Tribolium castaneum: one gene and its partners. The protein of the gene in region 3 purifies or fractionates together with the protein of the main gene of each other region. This does not show direct contact. Links are inferred from orthologs where the notes say so. Each region holds a gene or a part of one and is shown on either strand. Other genes may lie near its edges.

Region 1 (6,465 bases), on a different chromosome or scaffold from region 3:
TAAATTTGTTTGTGGCAAAAGAATGCGTGAAAATAAATATAGTATTTTCTGCCTCCGGCAAAGGGGTTTAATTTGAATTTTTCATGTTGGAGCAACAACTCTGAAGACTGTTTTTACCGACGAAGTCGTCACAAAAATCAATGAATGAATCGGACAAACCTCTTTGTTTATCACCTTGTAACAATTATTATCACAGAGATTTTTTTTGGTGACGTTTTATCCATTATATTCTTACACAATTATTGTGCCGCTAATTTTATCCAGTTTATTACTTGCTGTTGTTGCAGAGGGACTGCATTAGAAACATAAATAAAATCAGAATCTTTCGGTCTAAAAGTTTTAAATTTGTTGGCTAGTGCGTGTTGTTAGTTAGTGGAGTGGATTTCCAGGAAGAAAATTAGGAAACAATCCGGATTAAAGGGTTAGTGGTCTGCAATACTTTCTTTAAAAAAATCTGTAATATTTCCAACCAATTTAATGAAACAATGCTAAAATTTAATTGTTTTTTGCTTCAGTAAGTCCCTTTAAGAAGATGATGCAATGGCACTTGCTACAAACTATAGCAGAAGATGCCATAAAGGTAAGTGCTTGTATTTTATCAGCAATTAGTTATTAGTATTTGCGTTACATGTAGGTATTTAAAGAAAACTCTGATATTATATTTTACCAATTTATTTAATGCTCAATAATCACAATTATGTATAGACTTAAGTATAAAAAATCACACAACTAGTGAACTCAATCAATTTTCGTCTCGACGATTTTTAGGCAATCCTCATAATGCCCTCGCCGCAACGGGTCCAGCTTGATTAATTCCTTATAGTAATGAACGTTATTTTCAACATGCTCCTTATCCAGCACTGTTATATTCCCTGATAACCAACATTTGGCCATAACAATCCCTAAGAAATTATTAAGAGTCTCAAATAATACAAAACAGCTCATAATTACATTTACAATCAGGCTCCAGTTCTTGCAATTGCTCTAAAGCCTCCAACAACTCATCTTTTTGAGTTTTCCTCAAATTTGGATTGCTTAAAACCCACCTCAAGTAAAACCAAGCACTTGTATCGATTGGATCGGTAAATACGGCATTCTGCACCAAAGTCAGCTCTTTAGCCACGCTTTCGGCGTCTGTCAGAAACTGCAACGTACTTCGGTAATGCCAGGAGGAGTAATTTGAGAAATTTATATTAATTCGTTCGGTTGAAAACGCGATTTCGTCAGTTAAAGTAATGCCAATTTTATTGACTAACAAGCGGCGGAAATCCCAACAATGAACTGCAAAAAACTCAGTTTGTTCTTTCCACGGGTTGTAAAACTACCTACAGTTTCTATCGTCCATGGATAAGTATTTGGTGCACAAATCAAATTCTCGTTGCCAGTTGGGCTTAGGGTGATGGTTTAAGATCCAATAGCGGTGGTGCCAGGAACCGTAAGACTTGGGATTTGAAAGAAGGCACTGTTCAGTCAATCTCAACTCATTCTCGCAAAACTCAATCGATTTCTCATCACCATTCTCCGCATCTGAGTGACTGTTAAATTGTGAAAAACAGAATTTAAGACTTGAAATTAGTTACTTCTCCTTCAGTTCCATTAAAGTTGCTTCTTTACGGTAATTCCACAAAGTGTAAATGTCGGGATTCACACTCAAGAGCTGGCCACTTAAAAGCAACGACGCCGGATCATAATTCTCCTTATTTCTCGTCGACAAGATCTGCTTCATTCCCATGCGATAAGCTACCAGTTTCTTCTGCTGCTCTTTCTGCTTTTGCAGCTTCTGTTCTTCGCTAGTGCGAACTTTGATCCTTCCATGCTGGAAAGGAATCGATTAGCAGTGCCTTTGGACGACCGAATGCTTTACCATTTTTGCGTTAAATTGGAAAATAAAATAAAAAATAAATTTTGGCCACCCAATGACACAAACGTCAAGCGTTTTTAACCTCAAATCCCAGGCGAGTTGTCAAATTGACAGGCTATTTGGCGGTTTTTATGAATTTTGTTCATTTCGTTTCGCTCGATTGAGGCCCCCATGGTGAAGCTGGAGCCATTTAGTCGCGTGTGAAAACTGACTGCGTGTAGGGCGACGCCTGTGGATTATTTTATATCTGAAGGTGTCACCCGTTATTTTAGGAAATTGTTTGGCATTACACCAAGTGGTTCTGCATTGTGTCAATTAAATGAGAAGGAATTTACTGAAATATTTATATTAGCTTACAATTAACTTATAAAAACAAAAATACAATTCAATTTTCGAGAAATGATACAAAATCTGTCAGTTTATACAATTGATCTTCACTACTTGTCTGGCCAGAAGTTTGTGGGGTTGGTCTAACGGGGTGAACCATCCTAGTGTCGGCTTCCACTTGCCAGCCCCTCTCCACACAAGCCGTTGCACAAATGTCTGGGGGCAAGCCCGTCATTGCAGAAACAGTGTCTAATGTTATTGAAGAATACGCTTGTGCTATTAAATCTACTGATCTATTTCTCACTCTGTCTGTAAAACGCAATCATTAGTGGTGTTTAGAGTGATCCAATTAGCAAGAAACCTTGAACTTGTTTCATAATATTCGCCACACCGTCGGACCATGTTACCGCGTTCAGAGCCTTGTAAATCCCCGGGAAGTCCCTCTTCCACATATGCTGGGCCACGGCCCAGATGTTGTTTAGCTCAGGAGTGGACGACTTCACCGAAGCCGGGATGCGTTTCCATAAATATTTTGCATTGCATCTACAACTAGCCTTAGCGGCAATACCGAACCAAAACCGGCGATACTTACAAGTCGTTTTCGTATAAATATATAGCTAGGAGTTGTTCGTAAACTTGAGGTGATGCTATACCGTTCTGTGCCTGAAAAAACGCCAAATTTGTAAAAAATTGGAAGTTTGAGGTTATATCTCTCGATGATGACTCTTACTTCTAACTCTTGCTTCTCTAAGTCTTCTGCTAATTTTTCAATGTTACTAGAAACCATTTTGTGAGGAGTTCTTTATAATTTGGTTTTAACAAATGTCTCGTTTTAAAATCATACACATTTTTTATTTACGAGTGCGAACAACCAACTGACCAAAACCCGACTGCGCCGGAAATGCACGAACGCTGCCGACGCCCGCGAAAAACGTCGCCATTTTTTTTAATTTCAAAAAATTCACAAAAGATCTAATGCCTAATTAGGTAATCACGTTTTCATCGAATTAATTTGAATAATAAAGCCCGAGTTTGTGTTTTATGAATTTATAAAATATCAAACACCACCCACTGTCGTTTCATTCCATGATGATAACCGGTCAATGTAAACCGCCCTTTATATGGACAAAAAATTAAAAAAGTTAAAATTCAAATATATTAATTAAAATAGCAATCTATCAATGTGTTCGTTAAATTTTTGACCACATTTTTGCTTGGTATCAGCAGCACAAAGGTAATGAAAGTCCACAGGCAAAGAAGGATGTGTATATTTACAGCATGAAAGCGTATATACACTCAAAAACCACATGTTTTGTTCAAGTTTTGTCCATAAATATTTCTTTAAAAAGGAATAGTTCAATCAACCTAAAGTGGAGGAAATTAAGACGGAACAAAATGTATTTTAATTCAGTCCATTAGTTCTTAAAATTACTGATTGAATCTAGCTGCAATTCTAGTTTTCCTCTGCTTTGCTGATTTATCCCGCCGGTCATTTCGCTCCAACTCACATGCCTGTAACAAGTCAGTCAACTTAAATTATCCCCATTGCAAGTTTCACCTTCGAGATTCCAGCGTTTTGGCTGTTACTTGAAACATCAGTTTTTTCTTGTTTTTTCCGCGGTGAATTTTCATTAACATTCTTATTCCCAGTGTTAAGATTCTTATTCCCATGAGTTTGCTTCTTTTTTAACGCTTGAAGCGGCACGAAATTGTGTGCTTTCGCACTCGTGTGCGGATTTCGACTAAAATTAGACTCGGGGTCCCTTCTACTGTAGTCCGTTTGGTGCGGGGGCGGCATTCTCTGATGCTGACTATGTCCACCCTGTTTGAACTTAAAATAAAAGATTTCGGCGTTTCTTTGACGATTTAGAGTGGTACCTGGTACGACTTATTCACAAAAACTTGGGATGGCATTTTGTTTTGTTGTTGGCGGTCTTGGACCCACTTGGTTGGGGGCACGGGAAATTCGGACGGAAGGCCCGTTTTTGCTGGCTTAGAACTCTTCTAGGAACATACTTTTAGTTTTATTATTTTTACGTAAAAATCTTACATTTTTTAGCATGTTTAAGGCATCTAGCGCCACATTTTCACTCGCTTCTTCCCGAGATTTTGCGGTTTTTCCCGATATGGATTTACCGCTAGGTAGAACAACTTGTGCAGCATATCCGTTGTTTTGTTCGAGGTAAAAATACCTCGGACAACCCCAAGCGTTTGACTGATAATAGCTTAATAAATTAGCGGTAGCGCTCGCCGCAGTCTAACAATTACATAAGCAGTGGAATTTTAATCGCAAAAATTGGTTATTTACCCCCATTTCCGGCTTTCGACTTGATGAAGTTGAACAATTTTGAACCGGCACATTTAATTTCGGATTACTCGATTTCTCGACATTATTATCAATGTTTAAAATCCGTTTTAAGAAATCAGTGTTTACCTCAGTTTTTGGCTGTAACCATTAAAATTAATATTTAATACTTGAAATAAATAACTTGCCTTGGCAGAATTTACAGTGTTTTGCGTAACATTATTGGGTCCCCTCATATGCCTGTTCTGATTGTTCATTTCTGTAGTTCTCTGCAGGACAGTGGGTTAGTTGGCGCAAAGCTCAGGAAAAAACATACCCAAGTGACTGCGTTTTCTTTATTAATCTTGGACCCCTGCATTTGCGTAAAGTCGCTCATGTAATAGAACGAATTTTTCATTTTTGGTTGATCGTAGGCAGGTATGGGCATTTGTGGCCTCACTGGATACTGGTTTGTGTTAAAGTGATTGTTTTTATACGGTGGCCCCATTAAACTAGGTTGTGCTTTATTAACCGAAGCAAAGGCAGAATTTTGCTGCCTGGCATACATATTTGTACTAATGTTGGTGTTTACGTTACGTCTTTCCTTAGCTAATGCCCTTAACGCACCTTGAATTTTTCAATCAAAGACGGAAAAGTTTCACCCTGAAATACCTGGCACTCCAGTTTTCTCCTCCATTTGCCTCCTGCCATAACTAATATTAATGAAAGAAATTTTCGACAGACGATAACCCCGCTGTTCGGAACAGTTCAAAGCCAATCCGCCCGCGAATGGTTTATCGAAAACAATATCATAGATTTCGTTTTCGTTTTTAAGGACGTTAGGTGACTTATGGATTGCAATGACGGTGCCTTTGAGGCCGAGAGGAACAGTAAAACCCTCACGAACATTGACAATTCGGTCAAATACTCGAGTTCGGGCAAGAGGGTCTGGGGCCAAATAGCCCGTCTGAATTTCAGGCTAAAATTATGCGGATGGAATTTTTACATCAAAAAATTGTCCGAAATTACCTTATACAGCAAATGTGGTTTAATTTGCATGACAATATTTTTGGGGGAATCTTTCAACTGATCGACTTCTTTTTCGATCTCCGCTACAACTTCCGGCTCCAAGACGGAACTTCCGCAAACACGCCTCTCAATATTGTGTACAGGCAACGACTTTAACCAAGTCTGAATGCTTTTCACCTTTTCGTCCCCACTGGAACATTGACAATAATTCTATTATTATTGTTTATAATTTTATTACTATTATTAATTATTAAAGACATTTTTTTAACGTCGCCCCGATTTTAGAGCAAACTTTTCCATTTGCTTGTTTTGTCAATGACAGCAAAACTATTTGATAAAATCGAAATATTTTGAAGAAAATTAATGTAAAATAATGTGGGGAATCGATTATCACGAGAAACTAAAATCTGTCAATAAGATTAGTCGTGAAAAAACATTTTTTTTAAGTAAAACTCGGCAATACTCACTCTTCGCCAAAAATCGCATCGGCGTCAAGATCGTCGTTGGAACCAGAGGCAAGAAAGCGAAAAACTTCTGGGAAATTGTTTATGTATTCCCTAACTAAATCCACAGCCTTACTGGTGTAAAACCAAACATTTTCGATTTTCCTCGTATAACCTGGCGTTTCCTGATTTTTCTTGCTAAATTTCATGTCCAAACCGATATTTACAGTTTTGAACAACCCCTCATTGGTCCTCGTTTGCACAAACAAAGAACCAGTAATTCGCGAAAACACGTAATTCGACATGGCCAACTGACACGCCGAATTTGCAAGACTCATGTAATTTCTCTTCAACTTTTCGTCGATATTTTGCGCTTTACTGAGGTCCGGTTCGGCTGTAACAGTCAGTGAGACTTTCAAATGGTTGTTCTTTAGCGACTCAGCACAGTCCACAATCTTTAAAGAAATAATTTAACCAAAAGTCAACAAAAAATTTATAAATTACTGTGCCCTGTGAGCCGT
Region 2 (7,303 bases), on a different chromosome or scaffold from region 3:
ACTCAAAAAAGTACCGGTGTGCTTTGACAGATGAGTCGCCCCATTTGGCATTTTGGTCAAAATTGTTAACGGAGATGGGCCATTGGAAACTAATAGATTTGAAAAATGGAACTGATTGTACCAATCAGTTTTCATTCGTCAAGGGTTGGCAGACGACAATCAGGTCTATTATTTTTTTATGGAATCACCTCAAAAACATCGATGGGTTTGATTTTTTGAACTTGAGGGGTCTAAACCAAGACCCCTTGGAGAATCTTTTCTGTAGTATTCGCCAGCACGGTGTTGCAAACACGAATCCCACATGCCACCAGTTCACAGCTGCCTTGAAAACCGTAGTTGTTAACAATTTGGTTTCACCAAAAGGCTGTGGTAATTGTGAGGATGACGAGTGCACGCCTTTGGAAAACTTGGGGAGATTATTGAACTTTTCAGGGAATGAGGAAAGAGAGCAGGAATCGCATCCAGAAATTTCAGTGGACTTTTCTACATTACAGCAACCAGACCTTTGCTGTGAAGACAGTCAAGGTTTGGCTTATGTTGCTGGCTATGTATTGAAGGAAATTGAGGTTCCTGATTGCGAAAACTGTCAGAATAAACTATATTCTGAGGAGCCGACAGAGCACCATCTCTTAGTCTCATTCAAGGAATTTGACGATAATCAGCGGCGACTGAAGTATGCTAGTGAACATGTAATGTGGCTTGTTCAAAACATTCATGACTGTTTATACAGTTTCCTTGATACCTATGCTCACCACGCAATGTTGGAAGACAGGTTCAAAGAAATTTATAAATCTCAGTTTGATTTTGGGCCAGCCTATTGCATGACTCACGACTGTGATAATTTAATATTAAATAGGTGTACCACCTTTTTAATATATAAATACACAAGAGACAAGCAGAAAGCAAAATCCGTTACCACCGGTCATATAGAAAAAATGAAAAAATTCCGAAGGCTGTGATTTGTAAATAGACTGTGATTTGTACATAGAAGGCTGTGATTTGTAGATATATATTTAAACAAGAAATGTATTTTTTTTTTAATTTATTTGTACATAGTTCTTTTGGAGGAAATATTTCTGTTTTAATTTATATAGTTTAAAATTGTTTGTTAAGTTTTTTGATGTTTTTTAGAATTCTCTATTTAGGTTATTTCAGAATTTACTTTTAAGTTTCTTATTTGCGCTCGAGTGTGTCAGTGCACTGCATGTACCTCCTCGTGGTCGTAGCGCGGGCAACTGTTTGCTGACAGACAAGGTAAAAGTCATTGCAAAGAAGGCCTTATTTTGTTTTAAGTCTGGAGCAGACAGGCAAAACATGCCAACACTGACTGATTCAATTTTTTGATAATTTTTGTATAATTAAGAAATAATACAATACTTTAATTTTTTGAAAAATTTAATTTGTTATGTTACTCAAGTGTGCAATAAAAATGTTAACAAAATCTGTGTTTTATTACCCCAAAACAACTTTTTTTGTAAGTTTCATTGCAAATTTTGTTTAAAATAAATATAAAATGTTTTCATTTCGTTTAAAATGAAAATATTTTTTTTTATTTTAAACAATTTGCAATAAAACTTGTAAGATAAAAATAATAAAAAACAGAATATAAAAGGAATTTATTCAAACGTGGCGCTTTACCGTGGTAGTAACGCACTTCAGCACCAGAGGCGCTGTATTCTCGTGTTGCCAGTGATTTACTAGGGAATTATCACTTCTTAACCTTTACTGTTCTGTGATTTTACAAGCTCCGCGTTTTCACAACATATCAAGAGAAAATGGCTTTATCACCTCGTGAGTCAGGCAAACTCGTTGCTTCGCTTAGCAAAAACGTGAAAATCAAAGACGAAGGTGTGAAAAAACTGGGGGATTTGGTAAGTCCGTGCGTATCAGGCGAAAAAAGGCACATTTTAACTGTTATCTCCAGTTGGTTAGCGAGATCGAAAGCGGGAAATTGTCCAGTGAGAAGTTCAGTCAAGTGAAACTGCACCCAAAATCCGACGATCCCAAAGCCCTTGACTGGTTATTTGTCGTGGACACTCTGAATTTTTGCTTCTGGCACTTAGAAACCGAAGCTGGCTGGACTGTGGAGGGCTACACTGGTTATTTTGCCCTTTGTGCGGCTATTAATCGAGCCGTGAAGGAAAAAGTGGATATTTTGAACTCGAAATACTACTCTGAAGTGTCCGAAAAAGACCTTGCGAAAATATTCAGAAGCGACAACGATGTCCCAATTCCACTCCTCCAGGAACGCGTCAAATGCTTGCACGAAGTTGGGAACGTCCTTCTTGAAACTTTCGACGGTTCGTTTGAAAATTGCGTGAAAAAGGCTGACAAGAGCGCTGTGGCCCTTCTGGACCTAATCGTCAACAATTTCAAGTGCTTCAAGGACGAAGCGACTTACAAAGACAAGAAAATTGCGATTTACAAGCGGGCGCAGATTTTAATTGGCGACATTTGGGCCTGTTTCAAGAACGAAGGACTTGGGCACTTTAAAGATATCGATGAAATAACAATGTTTGCGGATTATAGAATCCCACAATCTCTCCTATATTTCGGGGTGTTTGAGTACAGCGAAGATTTGAAGAAGAAACTGCAAGACAACAAAATTCTCGAAAACGGGGAAGAGGACGAAGTGGAGATCAGAGCTTGCTCCATCCATGCGGTCGAGCTGCTAAAAGAACATGCCAATAAAAAACTAACTGATACGAAAATCAATGCCATTTTGATCGATCACTTCTTGTGGGACTTCAGACGCGAACATAACAAGGAAATCGTGGAGAAGAAGTTGCCGTTCCACAAAACGTTCTCCATTTATTACTAAATCGAACGACAATATCAAGTTAAAATTGGAGTTGACCGAATCAATGTGCTAATTTATTAGTAATTAATCGAAAATTTCAGGGAGCGGTTGGCCATGAAACTTTGATATGGCATTTTGGTGGTAGTCATGGTTACAATTGTTACAAACCGAACCGTACTTTTTCATTGCCAACTATGCTGTCATGTTTTATTTCATATCAGTAATTTTTAAGATTAATCGTGTCAATGTTTTTAAAGTTAAAGTATTAGATTATGATTGAAAGAATATTCTGGAATTTTATTTGCCCTCGTCTCCCTACCCATGATCCTCTGCCGACGTTTCGCGAAAGCCAGCCAGAGGGCGGAGGAGCAGCAAAGTGACGTTTGTTGTTTATTTCAAAAGTGCAAGTGTTTTATTGTTGTATTTTCTTGGAGGAATCAAAATTCGCATTGGCGTCATGGTCGATTACAGCAAGTGGAAGAATATTGAGGTAGTGAAGTCTGGGAGGAAAAAATGAGGTTAGGTGGTGCTTTGCAGATTTCCGACGATGAGGATGAGACGCATCCAAATATTGACACCCCTTCACTTTTCCGGTGGAGGCACCAGGCCAGAGTTGAGCGCATGGAAGAAATGAAGAAAGAAGCGGAAGAAATCCAGATAAAGAGGGAGGAAAATGCTAAGAAGGTCTCGCAAGCCAAGCAGAAGCTGGCGGAAGCCGAGAAGGCCGGAGATGCGAATTTGAGGGAACTTAAGGACGCTCTGGCCGCGCTGGAGAAGGAAATGGAAGCGATTAAGAAGAAACAGGAAGAACACGAGAAGAAAGAAAAAGTTTGTACGAATGTTAGTTCTTCTAATGTTTATTTAGTGATTTACAGATGGCCCCGTGGAATGTGGACACAATTAGTCAGCCAGGTTTTGCAAAGACTGTTATTAATAAGAAAGCTCCGAGACCGAAGGACGAACAATTAACGGATGAAGAGAAGGAAAGTCGCATGAAAAATTTTGTAAAAGAAAACGAGAAGAATTTGAAGCACTTTGGAATGTTGCGACGTTATGAAGACTCTCGGGCTTTTCTCAGGGACCACCTTGAATTGGTTTGCGAAGACACAGCTAATTACCTCGTCATCTGGTGCATCAATTTAGAAATGGAAGAGGTAAGATTGTGGCAAAAAATGTATATTGGCAACACTGAGTTGTTGGGGTAAATTATGTATTGTTCTTTTAATTAGAAACATGACCTTATGGAGCACGTGGCGCACCAGACCATCTGCATGCAGTACATCCTAGAACTAGCCAAACAATTAGACTACGACCCTCGCGGCTGCGTGGACCCCTTTTTCTCCAAAATCCAAATAGCTGATCCTCTTTACAAAAAATCGTTTGACGATGAATTAGACCAGTTTAAGGAGAGGATCAGACGACGCGCAGCTGAGAAGATTGAAGAGGCCATAAAAGAAGCAGAGGAGGAGGAGAGGAAAGCGAGGATAGGGCCAGGAGGGTTAGATCAGCTTGAAGTCTTGGAAAGTCTTCCCGAGAATTTACGAAAATGTTTCGAGACGCAAGACATCCAAATGTTGCAAGACACAATCAAGGAAATGGATGAAGAAGAGGCCAACTATCACATGAAGAGGTGTGTTGCTGCGGGTCTTTGGATACCTGATGCCAAAAAGAAGGAAGAAGAAGAAGCTGGGCCTTCTGATGAGCAGTCAAAACCCTAAAGTCACTTGCTTTACAATTTTTGTTATTTAGCCTTTATTTCCTAAGAATGCAAATTTATTGTATTAATTTATTAGGAATGCTTGAAGATTAATAAATTTCTTTACTTTATAAACTTGACGTAAACTTTCTTATACCCATCCCAATTCCCGCATTTTCTCTCACTGACTTAAATTAATCATCCACTTGAAAAAAATAATAGCCAAACGAATTTACAGTTTCAGTGGCAGATATAACAATCAACGTTATTTAAAAAAAATATTTGGTAAAACCCGTTCTTTTGAAAAAGCGTAGTTACTTTTGTTCACCGATGTTGGTGTATTTTCGCGTTTCCCATATTTCGTGTTCTGACGCATCACTTGACGTGTCGCAACAACAAGACACGACAACACCACATAAAAAATTGAAAATTTAACCAGTCAGTTAAGATTATGGCCCCAAAAGAAAGCAAAGAAAAGGATGATAAGGTACAGTTTAAATGAATGAACACGTAATTTGCACGCTTGTTATTTAAATACGGAAAAAATTGTAAATTTGGCTTCATAACCTATTGTTGCAGCCTGTTAAAATAAATAAATGGGACGGTTCAGCTGTGAAAAATGCCATAGACGATGCAGTAAAAGAAGTGAGGTCCCGTGACTCCCTGTTCATTGTTATAATAGTATTTTTTAGGTACTTACTAAAAAGTATCATTACGTAGAAAATTTTAAATTGATGGATGGGCGCCTTGTAATTTGTAGTATTGCAGTAGGAGTTGCCATGTTTGCTTTACTGTGGGATTATTTATATCCCTTTCCACTTTCTAAGTAAGAGTCTCAAATAATCCACCCCTCTGTATAAATACTTGCGTTTTTTCAGACCTATATTAATATTTTGTGTGGGCACTTATTTCACAATGATGGGCATTCTAACGTTGTACACCATGTATGTAGAAAAGGGTATTTTCGCTGTATGTATGCAGAAGAAGGACGGTCAGAAAAGCGATAACATATGGGAAGCCAGCTCATATTTAAAAAAGTGGGTCCCAAAGATAAAACCACAGTAATTTATTATTTATTTTAGATACGATGATAAATATAAACTGGTTCTCACGTTTAAAGATGGTAAAACTGGGGCTTTCCGGGAGACAAGCTTAAAGAAAAGTGTTGCAAATTTTGTGGACGTCAACGGTAGTGTAGTGCACGAAATTGTGGAAAATGAGGTTTCAAAGCTGCACAATTCTCTGTTGAATGAACGTAAAGATAAATAGCTCTCGAGATTGTCATGTCAGCAAGGCATTTATTGCATAATTCCACTTGAGTTGTAAATTTCTCTAATACATTACTTTTTTAGTACAATGATTATTTTATTTTTGTTCATAAACGCCTTTCTACGCACAAAACAAAAACTGTTTGCGATTTATCGGAAACGCACAGCCAAAAAATTTTCAACATAACTGTATCGATTTCTATTGAAAAAATAAAAATTATGGAGGTAAAAATCGTGTTTCTGTTCCCATTGAAAAATTCCACAAAAATCTAAACCTTCCTCCCAAGACAATAAAAAAGAGGACATGACTACAGTAGAACCTCGTTTATCCGCGTAGCAGTGCACAAGACAATTTTATAATTATTTAATTTACTACCTAAGAAGTTTAATAAGGTGATACAAAGTATTTGCGTTTAAGGTGAATTACTGCATTTATATAGTTTGTAATGTTGATTTATTTAAAAAGTTTGTGTTAAAATACCTGCAAAAGACGGTCGGTACCCAGGGCCTTGGTGGCCGAGTGGTATAAGCGCCACTTTCGGCGGTGGAGGTCGGGTGTTCGCACCCGGATCACGGCAACAATTTTTCTGAGAAAAAAAGTGTAGAAAAGGTAAGTGAAACAACACGAGAACAAAAATAAGAGATTGAGAGAACATACAAACATATAAACGTATAAACGTAAAGCGGAGCATAAAACTGAGAGAAATAAGAAAATAATGTGGCAAAAATGTAAAAGTACGTAAAGGCGCCAAATTGTAAACGTACTTTTTGTTTTGAGAGAAGAAGAGATGAACGTAAAGGTGAAATATAACTGCAAACTTTAGTTGAATCTTTAGATGACTTATACGTCAGGTATCTTTTGATGGAATCTGGTGAAAAATTAGAGAATTAAACTGAAAAAAGTGAAAAAAATGCTTTCTCGAGCTAATTCGCCGACTTTTGAACTGAAAGTATTTGCGTGTTAGGTGAATTATTGCAGTTATATAGTTTGTAATGTTAATTTATTTAAAAAGTTTGTGTTAAAATATCTGCAAAACAGGGTCAGTACCCAGGGCCTTGGTGGCCTAGTGGTATAAGCGCCACTTTCGGCGGTGGAGGTCGGGTGTTCGCACCCGGATCACGGCAACAATTTTTCTGAGAAAAAAAGTATAGAAAAGGTAAGTGAAACAACACGAGAACGAAAATGAGAGATTGAGAGAACATATAAACGTATAAACGTAAAGCGGAGCATAAAACTGAGAGAAATAAGAAAATAATGCAGCAAAAGGTAAAAGTACGTAAAAGCGCCAAATTGTAAACGTACTTTTTGTTTTGAGAGAAAAAGAGATGAACGTAAAGGTGAAACATAACTTCAAACTTTAGCGTTGAATCCTTTGATGACTTACTTCTTAAATTATAAAAAAATTAAACCAAAATATTTAATTTATGTCTAAAAATTTTTAGTTAACTGAGTTTGTGTGATTGTTACAAAAGTTCGGCTTATTGGAACAAAGAAGTTACAACTTTCGGAATATCCATTTTACGCCAACCTTTTCACCC
Region 3 (7,875 bases):
TTCGCATAAATATCGCGCGAAGAAGGACCGCAAACAACAGAGGGCCACGTTCAGGGACATTCTTTCATACATTGAAGTAATTTATTTATTTTTTTCAAATAATGAAATGATTAAAATCATTTTAGGACGATGTTGTTTCCGACGTGACTGTGAAGTTTGGTCGGGAAGTCCTGATGTTGGACACGTGGGCGCGTAGGAAACAGTACGACGCCTTGTGTACCGTTTTAGGGCCTGGAATTAACATCCATTTGGGGGAGAATGACCTTCTGAGGGACATATTTGAGATTACAGCCCCCATAGTGCAGCCACATGACACACCAGCGCACGCACAACAACACATGGAGAGGTGTCGCAAGGTAAAGGTTTTGTTTGTTTAAGTTAGGTGTTAATTTGTTTTTTCAGCGATTACTTAATGCCGCAGCGTTTAAAGCAAGGACGATATCACGGGCGAAAAATCGGGACAAGCGATCAGACTTTTAATGCATATTATGGGATATTTATGTATTTATTTTAGCTCAATTATATACCGACAGTAGCCGATTTTGTTTTTATCTGTAGCAGTAGCGAGAATTTGTTGTCATTAATTATTTGAAATTTGTAAATACGTTTATGAATAAATTTACAAATTTAATGCGCGTTTGATTAATCAAGGGAAATTACCAGTTAACGTAATTATTTATTTCTTCAATTTTTTCTCACAATAACTTACATATGGCACTCTCATGCTGTTCCACTGGTGTTTCGAACCGAATTACTGATCGGATTAAACACCCACTATTTGTAGACATCAACAAAAATAAAAAACATTTGAGATTTAAACATCTATAACAATATAAATTTGTAAACAATGCAACAACGATTTAATGCGATCAGTAATTTCGGAAAATGTTAATAACAATAAATAAAAATAATACAAAAGTTTTGTCAAGATTGCTTACAACCAGGGATTTTTCTAACTGCGATACACGAAATGGGCTTCTTCCATCTACGCTTGGAACTTTGGTTGGTTTGAGCACTTCCGTTATTTTGTTCAGCTTCGCGTTTCGTAATTTCTTCTAAAAGCAATTTTCAAAACACAGAAACACACTGAGACAATCAAACCGTTAAGCTCCCGTTCGGTGAAATACTCGACGTTATTTGCCGTGTCCGAAGTGTCGTAATAATGATCGAAAAGATATGGTAAAACAGTCATACAGTGAAACTCGTCGTTTCGCAAGGGCGGGATGGGGACAGGGGGCGCGGTGACGGGCGGTCGGCGCGAAAACCACCTAAAATGTATCAAAAAACCAACTTCAAATAAACAAACTCCGCCAAAAGTTACATGTGTTGCCTAATTTGTTGCAAACTGAGCCTCTCCTCGGGATCCTTCCTCAACATCCCTAGCAACAAATCCCGCAAGGGATCTTCGATATAATCCGGTATTGTGAATTCACCTTTCCCTATATTTTCGAATAATTTATAAATACTATCACCTTCGAAAGGGTATTCCCCCGTTACGAAATTGTATCTACAAGAGAAAATTATTTTCGGAAGTGGGAGAATTGGAGTTTTACAGTGACACACCGCTGCTCCAAACGTCCACTTTGAAGCCAGGGAATGAATCTAAACCGTTGGCGATCTCGGGGGGCTGAAAAGCCGGCGAACCTTGGCCTTGAACACACGTGTCGTCTATTGCGAAAAAATCGATTGTCTGAAAAATGGTAAAAATTATAATTTGAGACGAAATCTATCAGAAGATTTAGTTCATATAATAATTTAAGGGTATAATACACGTTCAGGATTAAAAAAATTGGCCAAATAATATTTTAAAGGCCGGAAGATTATCGAATTACGATGTTATTTTGGCACTTTTTTAGTCAAAAAACTAATTATTACGCAAAAATTACGTTACTTTTGTCTTGTGTTCACCTAGAAATGCAATTATTTAATAATTGAGTTAAAAATACGACGGAGTATTAATTCGAAATTGAGTAATTTTTTTACTTTGATATAATCCTCTACAAAATTATCTAGGGAAAGTGTGATAGAAGACTCCCAAAAGTCCTCACTAGTTTCAAAGTTACAATATTAAAAAAAACTAGAGTTCAAATTGATGAAAAAATCTTTAAAATACAATAACTGAAAGAATTAAGTTAAGTTGAATTGAAAAATCAGTTCAGTGCTACTATAGATGTTCATTTAGTTAATTGACAATGTCTTTAAACGATTAAAGTTTCATAATTTAGCACGATAATAATAAATAACTTTCAATCTTAAAATTGCAGTTGCACCAATTACTACTAAACTTTTATTTTCAATTTTTAAGCGACACCAATAACGTGAAATCTTTGTACCATACCGAAGATGTTTTGAATTTTCTTTCTTTATTTTTTTTGAAGACATCAAACTAATTTTTTAATTGTACAAAGAATAAGCCAAGATTTATACAATTTTAAGCTGCATTTATTTACAGTGCAGTTGAATTGACAGTTAATCAAAGCTTTTGTATTAAACCACACTGGTTCAGTTAGGCCTTAGCACTTTTTTAGCTAAAAAATCACTAAATCGTGTCGGAATGAAATTACGATTACCTTATTCAAGCGGTTTCGTCATTAGGACGATAATTGTGTTATTTTTGTTCTTTTCGGGACGACTTTTTAACTATCTTACGATAAGGAAATTTGAATGACATTTATTTTTAAACAAAGGCGTGACCTGTTTAATTATTTATAGAAACATTTTATTGCATAAAAATAAATTATGTATTTGGACCAGTTGTCTTATTTGTCGGTTACGTAGGTAATTGACAAAAAATTCAATTTCGTGAGAGTAACTCCGACCCAAAATAGATTTGGTTTATTATTAACACTCGTATCAATTTTGAATGAATAAACACAGATACAAGAAATCATTTAACAACGGAATGTCTAAGTGCGTTTTGTATCAATCATGAGTTCAACATGCAGTAAAATAATGAAAACTGTATAAATAAAGCGAAGTGAGGTCACTTCCAAGTGAAAAAATTTAATCACTTTATTTGGTGTGGCTTGGTGTACTCATAGGACAACGCCTCCTTATCCAAAAATCTGTAACCTTTGACCCTGCACCGAACAGGTCATTTCATTTTCGTGTCGAATCAGTCTCAATCATGTTCCTAGCTGCAACTTTGTTCCTGGTAGTACTCCTGACCCTGATAGTACTTTTAAGGTAAAACATTTTATTCTTATCGGTTATCGAGTTATCGCCCCAGCAAAATTTCTTGCTGCCTTTTTTCGACTAAGAATTTTAACTGTCCATGTGTTTGAACGTGTGTGTCTATTTTAACTAATTGCGACAAAATAGTTTATTAATCATGAGTGAGGCCGTCAGGAGGATTTGCGAGACCTTATGCACGCTTCTGGAGAGGTATTTTTCCCCTTTTTCGGTTCTTACTCACCTCGGCGACGCCTAAGTCCGAGATTTTCAACTCTCCCTCCAACGTGAGGAGCAGGTTCCCCGGCTTGATGTCCTTGTGGACGACCCTCTTGCTGTGCAGGTACTCCAGGCCGTCGATCAGCTGGATGAAGTAGCCGTGGGCCTGGTACAGGGGGAATTTTTTGTAAGGCGTGGACTCCAGCATGCCCTGGAGGCTGCCCACGCAGAACTCCATGATCAGATACATCTTCTGCTTCTCCTCGTTGAACAGCACGTCGACTAGACTGATAACGTTCTTGTGTTTGAGCGACTTAAGTAATTTGATTTCTCTGAAATTGTTACAGGTTAAAATCGCAAATGGCGGCCTTGGTGGCTTGGCTCGTGGGAGCGGTGAGTACCTTTCCACGTTTTGTACTCCGTTAGGTATCCTCCTCAGCTTGCGCTGTTTCAAAATTTTGACCGCGCGCCGGCACAAAGTGTCCGAGTCTAGCATTTCCTTCACTTTGCCGTACGAGCCCTCGCCCAGCAGGTCCCCCATCACGTACTTCCCGATCATCTTCAGACGCTTCTTGGCCTGGTAGATGACCTGCTCGGAGGACACGCGGTGGAAAAAGTTGCTGATGTTGCCCACGTCGAGGTCGTCCGACAGGTTGTTGCTCCAGGTGTGCGCGTCCTCGTCCAGGTCCCCCAGCACCGGGAACTCCTCGCTGTTAACGTCGAAAACGCGGTTGGTTAGCTCCACTTCCCCGGGCTCGGGATTCAGCTCCTGCTCGTCACTGTCACTGTTGGTTATGTTGCACATTTTCCTGTCCATAATTAACAGCCAACAGCGGGTTTCTCTCAGTTTTGCTTCGCTTTCAATCAGTTGAGACACTCGCACCTCATGTCATTTTCAATATTTTTGTTGTCCAACCAACAGCTGTTCCTAGGGACTTTGGCGGCTGTCGCGGCGCTGTTACATAATGCTGGAGCGGGGCCACAAACACCGATTTTACGAATTTTACGCACAAAATCAATTAACACATCCTTTCCAACACCCGAGTGATTTTTTTGCGCCGAAAACACGTGATTTCCCGGCTTTGGCCCAAATTTTTACACCAACTGCGCCAACCAAAAGTCACCAAGTTTAAATTCTTTCCCAATTTATCAAATTATTCAAAAAATGCGCTCGTGTCCGGCAAAAATACAACAAAAACGTAATTCTAACGATAACGGGAGATAAAATACCGTATTTGTTTACTCAAGTTTGGTAAAATTAAATCTGAGATTAGATTAACTTTTTTGTTTTTTTTTTTTCATAATTAAAATTATATTAAATCACTAGTTATTTAAAAGAGGTGTTACTCGACAAATTTGATTCGAAGGCAAATTTCGTATATTTTTTTTCTACATGTCAACAAGTGGCTGTCATCTCAATGTCACCTTGACAGTTCCAAATAAATATCTCCTCCCGCTCAAAATCTCAATTTTGTGAGAAAAACCTGCATAAAAGTAAGTGACAACAATTTTATTCAATGTTTGTGTTAAAAAGACACCAATTTTTACAATTTGGCAAGTTTTAAACCCCAAATTGCTGTTTTTTTTTCTCGTTCTTTAATCACAACTTTACGAGTGTTGTAATTATTATTATTAATGAGTAATTAATTGGAGAAGTAAGGTACAGAATGTTTACATCGCTTACTTCCTTATCGTGTAATTAACCAATAAAATCGAATTTATGTAACCTATGGTCTTTGGTTATTTTTATTGAATTTCGCCTCAATTGCGATTATACGACTTAAAAATCTATTACAAGTAGCATTTAATATAATTGGACGTTAGTAAACAATGTTTCAGTCATGGAAAACCGCTCGGTGTAACAATGAAAATGTTTTCCTGCCTTTGGAAACTTTATATGGGAATCCTTCACTTAATCTTGTTTTTCCCGAGCAAAAGTCTGGCTATTGCGTTTCATTTAATAAGATACGGGTTATTGTGGTGTGTTTTAATATTGCTAAGCTTGTCACGGTATTTGGAGCAAGTGAGTTTTATTTTTAAATGTCCTTGCTATAAATTCATTTAATTCTCCACAAACGCCCCGAGCCTTCAGTTTGCAATTTTTCCAGATATCCGGCGGTCGAGGCGAAGCAAACGACCAAGACCAAAATAAGGAAAAATCGAAGAAGAAAGCGAAACCCAAACCGAAGAAAAGTCCACTACGGGAGCCCTCCTTCAGCACAACACTCACAGACCCGATTGAGGAGGTCATAGAGGAGATATTGGACGAAGAAGTGAAGTCACCCAAACCGAGAAAACGAAATAAGAAAAGCAAGCCGAAAAGTAGCGACGACGAAGTCGGTTTCTCGTTTTTCAAAAGCAATTCGTCGGAAAGTTTGCCAAAATTTGAGGAAAATTCTGCAGCTAAGTTGAGTCCCGAGGTCGTGTCAGATCCACCAGAGGACTCACTCGGGTTTTCCTTTCTCCCCGTCAGGGATAAGAAACAGAGGAAAAATCAGAAAGTGAAAATCGACGATTTGCCCAAATCGACGCTCATTGAGCATTTCAAGCACAACAAAAGGGCCAAGAATGAGTTTGTTGTGATTGAAAAGGTTGAAGTTGAAGATAAGCCTGAAAATTGTATCGAAATCGTCAATAAAGAAACCGGGAAAAAGGTTTATCTTGAGGCCAAAGAGAGCAAAAAAGTACACTCGAAGATATCGTACGCCAGCGTCGCTTCTCAGCGTTTTGAGGAAAGCTTGGAACAGTTGAGGAGGGAGGAGGAAAGTAAAGCTGATTCTGGAATTAACGGTGGTTCAAAACGCCAAGTTGAGGAAGAGTTAGCGACTCAAATTCAGGGTGAAGAACGCAGACTGGTCGATTTACTTGACCAAGACCACAAGCCCGGTGGAGAAATAGCCGAAAATTCTTCGTTTGTGGAGTTTAATGGGGGTCTTGGAGAAATAACCGCACCTATTGAAGAACCAAAAACAGCCCCTGGTGAAGAAATAGTAGAACTGATACAAAGCATTGTTGACACTGTCACTAGTGAAACAGCGTCTTCCGAACTTTTGTCTGAAGAAATTTCTCCCTTCAAAATGTCTTCCGGTACCCAAGTGCGCGTTCTGACCCTAAACGATAAAGAACACCAAGACTCGACTCTTTACCGCCTGCAGAAAAACTGGATTATTCAGTTCCGTCTCGGCCCTTCCTTACTCGGGCGGAAAGTGTCGCTTTACTGCAACTACCCTCAAACCGGCGACTTCAAGCGACACTCCTACGCCTTGCTCAAGTGGCAACAAGACGAAGGCTGCCAGCATTCCGACGACACGGCCCTTCTGACTGAATTAACACTCGAAAAGTCCGGAAGTTTTCACTACTTTTTCACCTACGACGACCAGATCGAACATCAAGGCTCCGGTTTTTTCCTCGTAGACCCGGTTTTGAAATACGGGAAAAACGAAAAATTGCCGCTGGATTGTATTCAGTGTCAGACTGTGTTGGCTAAGGGCTTGGGCCCGTTTGACACGTGGGAAAATAAACTACAAGTTGCCAAAGAATCGGGCTATAACATGGTCCACTTTACGCCAATTCAGGTACATTGTGTCTTTTACCAAATAATTCTCTCTGCCCTCTACTGCTTACTTAGTTGTTGAATTTTTTTTAACTTTTTAACGGGTTTTTCATAATTGCATAATTGGTCTAATTTATTAAAAATGAGATAACTGTGGTTTGTGGTCAACAATCTTACCGCCCTTTGCTCGTTTAATATCAAAGTCATCACCTTTTGGAGAATAATTCACTCATAAATAATTATTGTTATGGGCATTTTTTTACAAAATTAAACCCTGTCTTAGGAATTAGGAGCTTCGAATTCGTCGTACAGTCTTAGCGAGCAGTTGAAGATCAACCCATTGTTCACTAAACAAAACGGCAGTGAAACAACGTTTGAGGACGTCAGTGACTTGATTAAGAAAATGCGCCAGGAATGGAAGGTACTTATGCCCATTTTGGGACCAAAATTTGAGCACTGATTTTTAAGGTGGTTTCAATTTGCGATATTGTTTTGAACCACACGGCCAACGAAAGTGCCTGGCTTAAGGAGCACCCGGAGGCCACCTACAACTGTCAAAACTGCCCCTATTTGCGGCCTGCCTACCTGCTAGATGCCGCCTTTCACCAGTTTTCCTTGGACGTGTCTAAGGGGGTGTACGAGGACAAAGGGATTCCGCCCCAAGTCTCAACAGAGGAACACTTGCACTCCATCCGTTACCACCTCCACAACGACGTTTTATCCCAGTTGAAAATCCCCGAACTGTTCATTTGTGATGTTGCTAAAAACACCGCAGACTTTCTGAATTTAATTCGTAATAAAATACCGACTCAAATCGAATCAAAAATTGAAGGCGAACTCAAACTGATCCAAGACCCGCAGTTTCGACGACTTGCCTCAAGCATTGACATGGATTTAGCCACGAAGTTGTACAATAATTACCGTCTCGATTG

The links.
Region 1: the proteins of Lkb1 (region 3) and CSN8 purify together in Homo sapiens (affinity purification with mass spectrometry; 3 studies listed by BioGRID and IntAct, with this or other methods). This does not show direct contact. The link is inferred for Tribolium castaneum from reciprocal best matches to the Homo sapiens genes STK11 and COPS8.
Region 2: the proteins of Lkb1 (region 3) and Cdc37 purify together in Homo sapiens (affinity purification with mass spectrometry; 8 studies listed by BioGRID and IntAct, with this or other methods). This does not show direct contact. The link is inferred for Tribolium castaneum from reciprocal best matches to the Homo sapiens genes STK11 and CDC37.

What each region holds. Positions count from the first base shown.
Region 1 is NC_087398.1:6,311,447-6,317,911, reverse strand, and holds CSN8 (COP9 signalosome complex subunit 8), read right to left. Parts: upstream 3,103-6,465; 5' UTR 2,976-3,102; coding exon 2,919-2,975; intron 2,852-2,918; coding exon 2,781-2,851; intron 2,732-2,780; coding exon 2,550-2,731; intron 2,498-2,549; coding exon 2,247-2,497; 3' UTR 2,192-2,246; downstream 1-2,191. Other genes in the region: RabGGTa (geranylgeranyl transferase type-2 subunit alpha), read right to left, coding at 739-902, 952-1,281, 1,330-1,535, 1,581-1,816, 1,865-1,867; pcm (5'-3' exoribonuclease 1), read right to left, coding at 3,617-3,700, 3,747-4,019, 4,067-4,192, 4,239-4,445, 4,497-4,634, 4,682-4,762, 4,810-5,099, 5,145-5,451 and 3 more. UniProt on the Homo sapiens protein: Component of the COP9 signalosome complex (CSN), a complex involved in various cellular and developmental processes.
Region 2 is NC_087398.1:2,271,083-2,278,385, forward strand, and holds Cdc37 (hsp90 co-chaperone Cdc37), read left to right. Parts: upstream 1-3,130; 5' UTR 3,131-3,257; coding exon 3,258-3,290; intron 3,291-3,337; coding exon 3,338-3,628; intron 3,629-3,675; coding exon 3,676-3,954; intron 3,955-4,029; coding exon 4,030-4,518; 3' UTR 4,519-4,631; downstream 4,632-7,303. Other genes in the region: queuosine 5'-phosphate N-glycosylase/hydrolase, read left to right, coding at 1,776-1,871, 1,925-2,821; Spase25 (signal peptidase complex subunit 2), read left to right, coding at 4,948-4,983, 5,076-5,141, 5,189-5,322, 5,375-5,533, 5,579-5,765. UniProt on the Homo sapiens protein: Co-chaperone that binds to numerous kinases and promotes their interaction with the Hsp90 complex, resulting in stabilization and promotion of their activity. Inhibits HSP90AA1 ATPase activity.
Region 3 is NC_087395.1:14,143,858-14,151,732, forward strand, and holds Lkb1 (serine/threonine-protein kinase STK11), read right to left. Parts: upstream 4,554-7,875; 5' UTR 4,208-4,553; coding exon 3,792-4,207; intron 3,723-3,791; coding exon 3,416-3,722; intron 1,691-3,415; coding exon 1,554-1,690; intron 1,508-1,553; coding exon 1,322-1,507; intron 1,269-1,321; coding exon 1,102-1,268; intron 1,056-1,101; coding exon 925-1,055; 3' UTR 657-924; downstream 1-656. Other genes in the region: Ifrd1 (interferon-related developmental regulator 2), read left to right, coding at 1-76, 126-356, 403-480; glycogen debranching enzyme, read left to right, coding at 5,255-5,413, 5,499-6,965, 7,227-7,364, 7,412-7,875. UniProt on the Homo sapiens protein: Tumor suppressor serine/threonine-protein kinase that controls the activity of AMP-activated protein kinase (AMPK) family members, thereby playing a role in various processes such as cell metabolism, cell polarity, apoptosis and DNA damage response.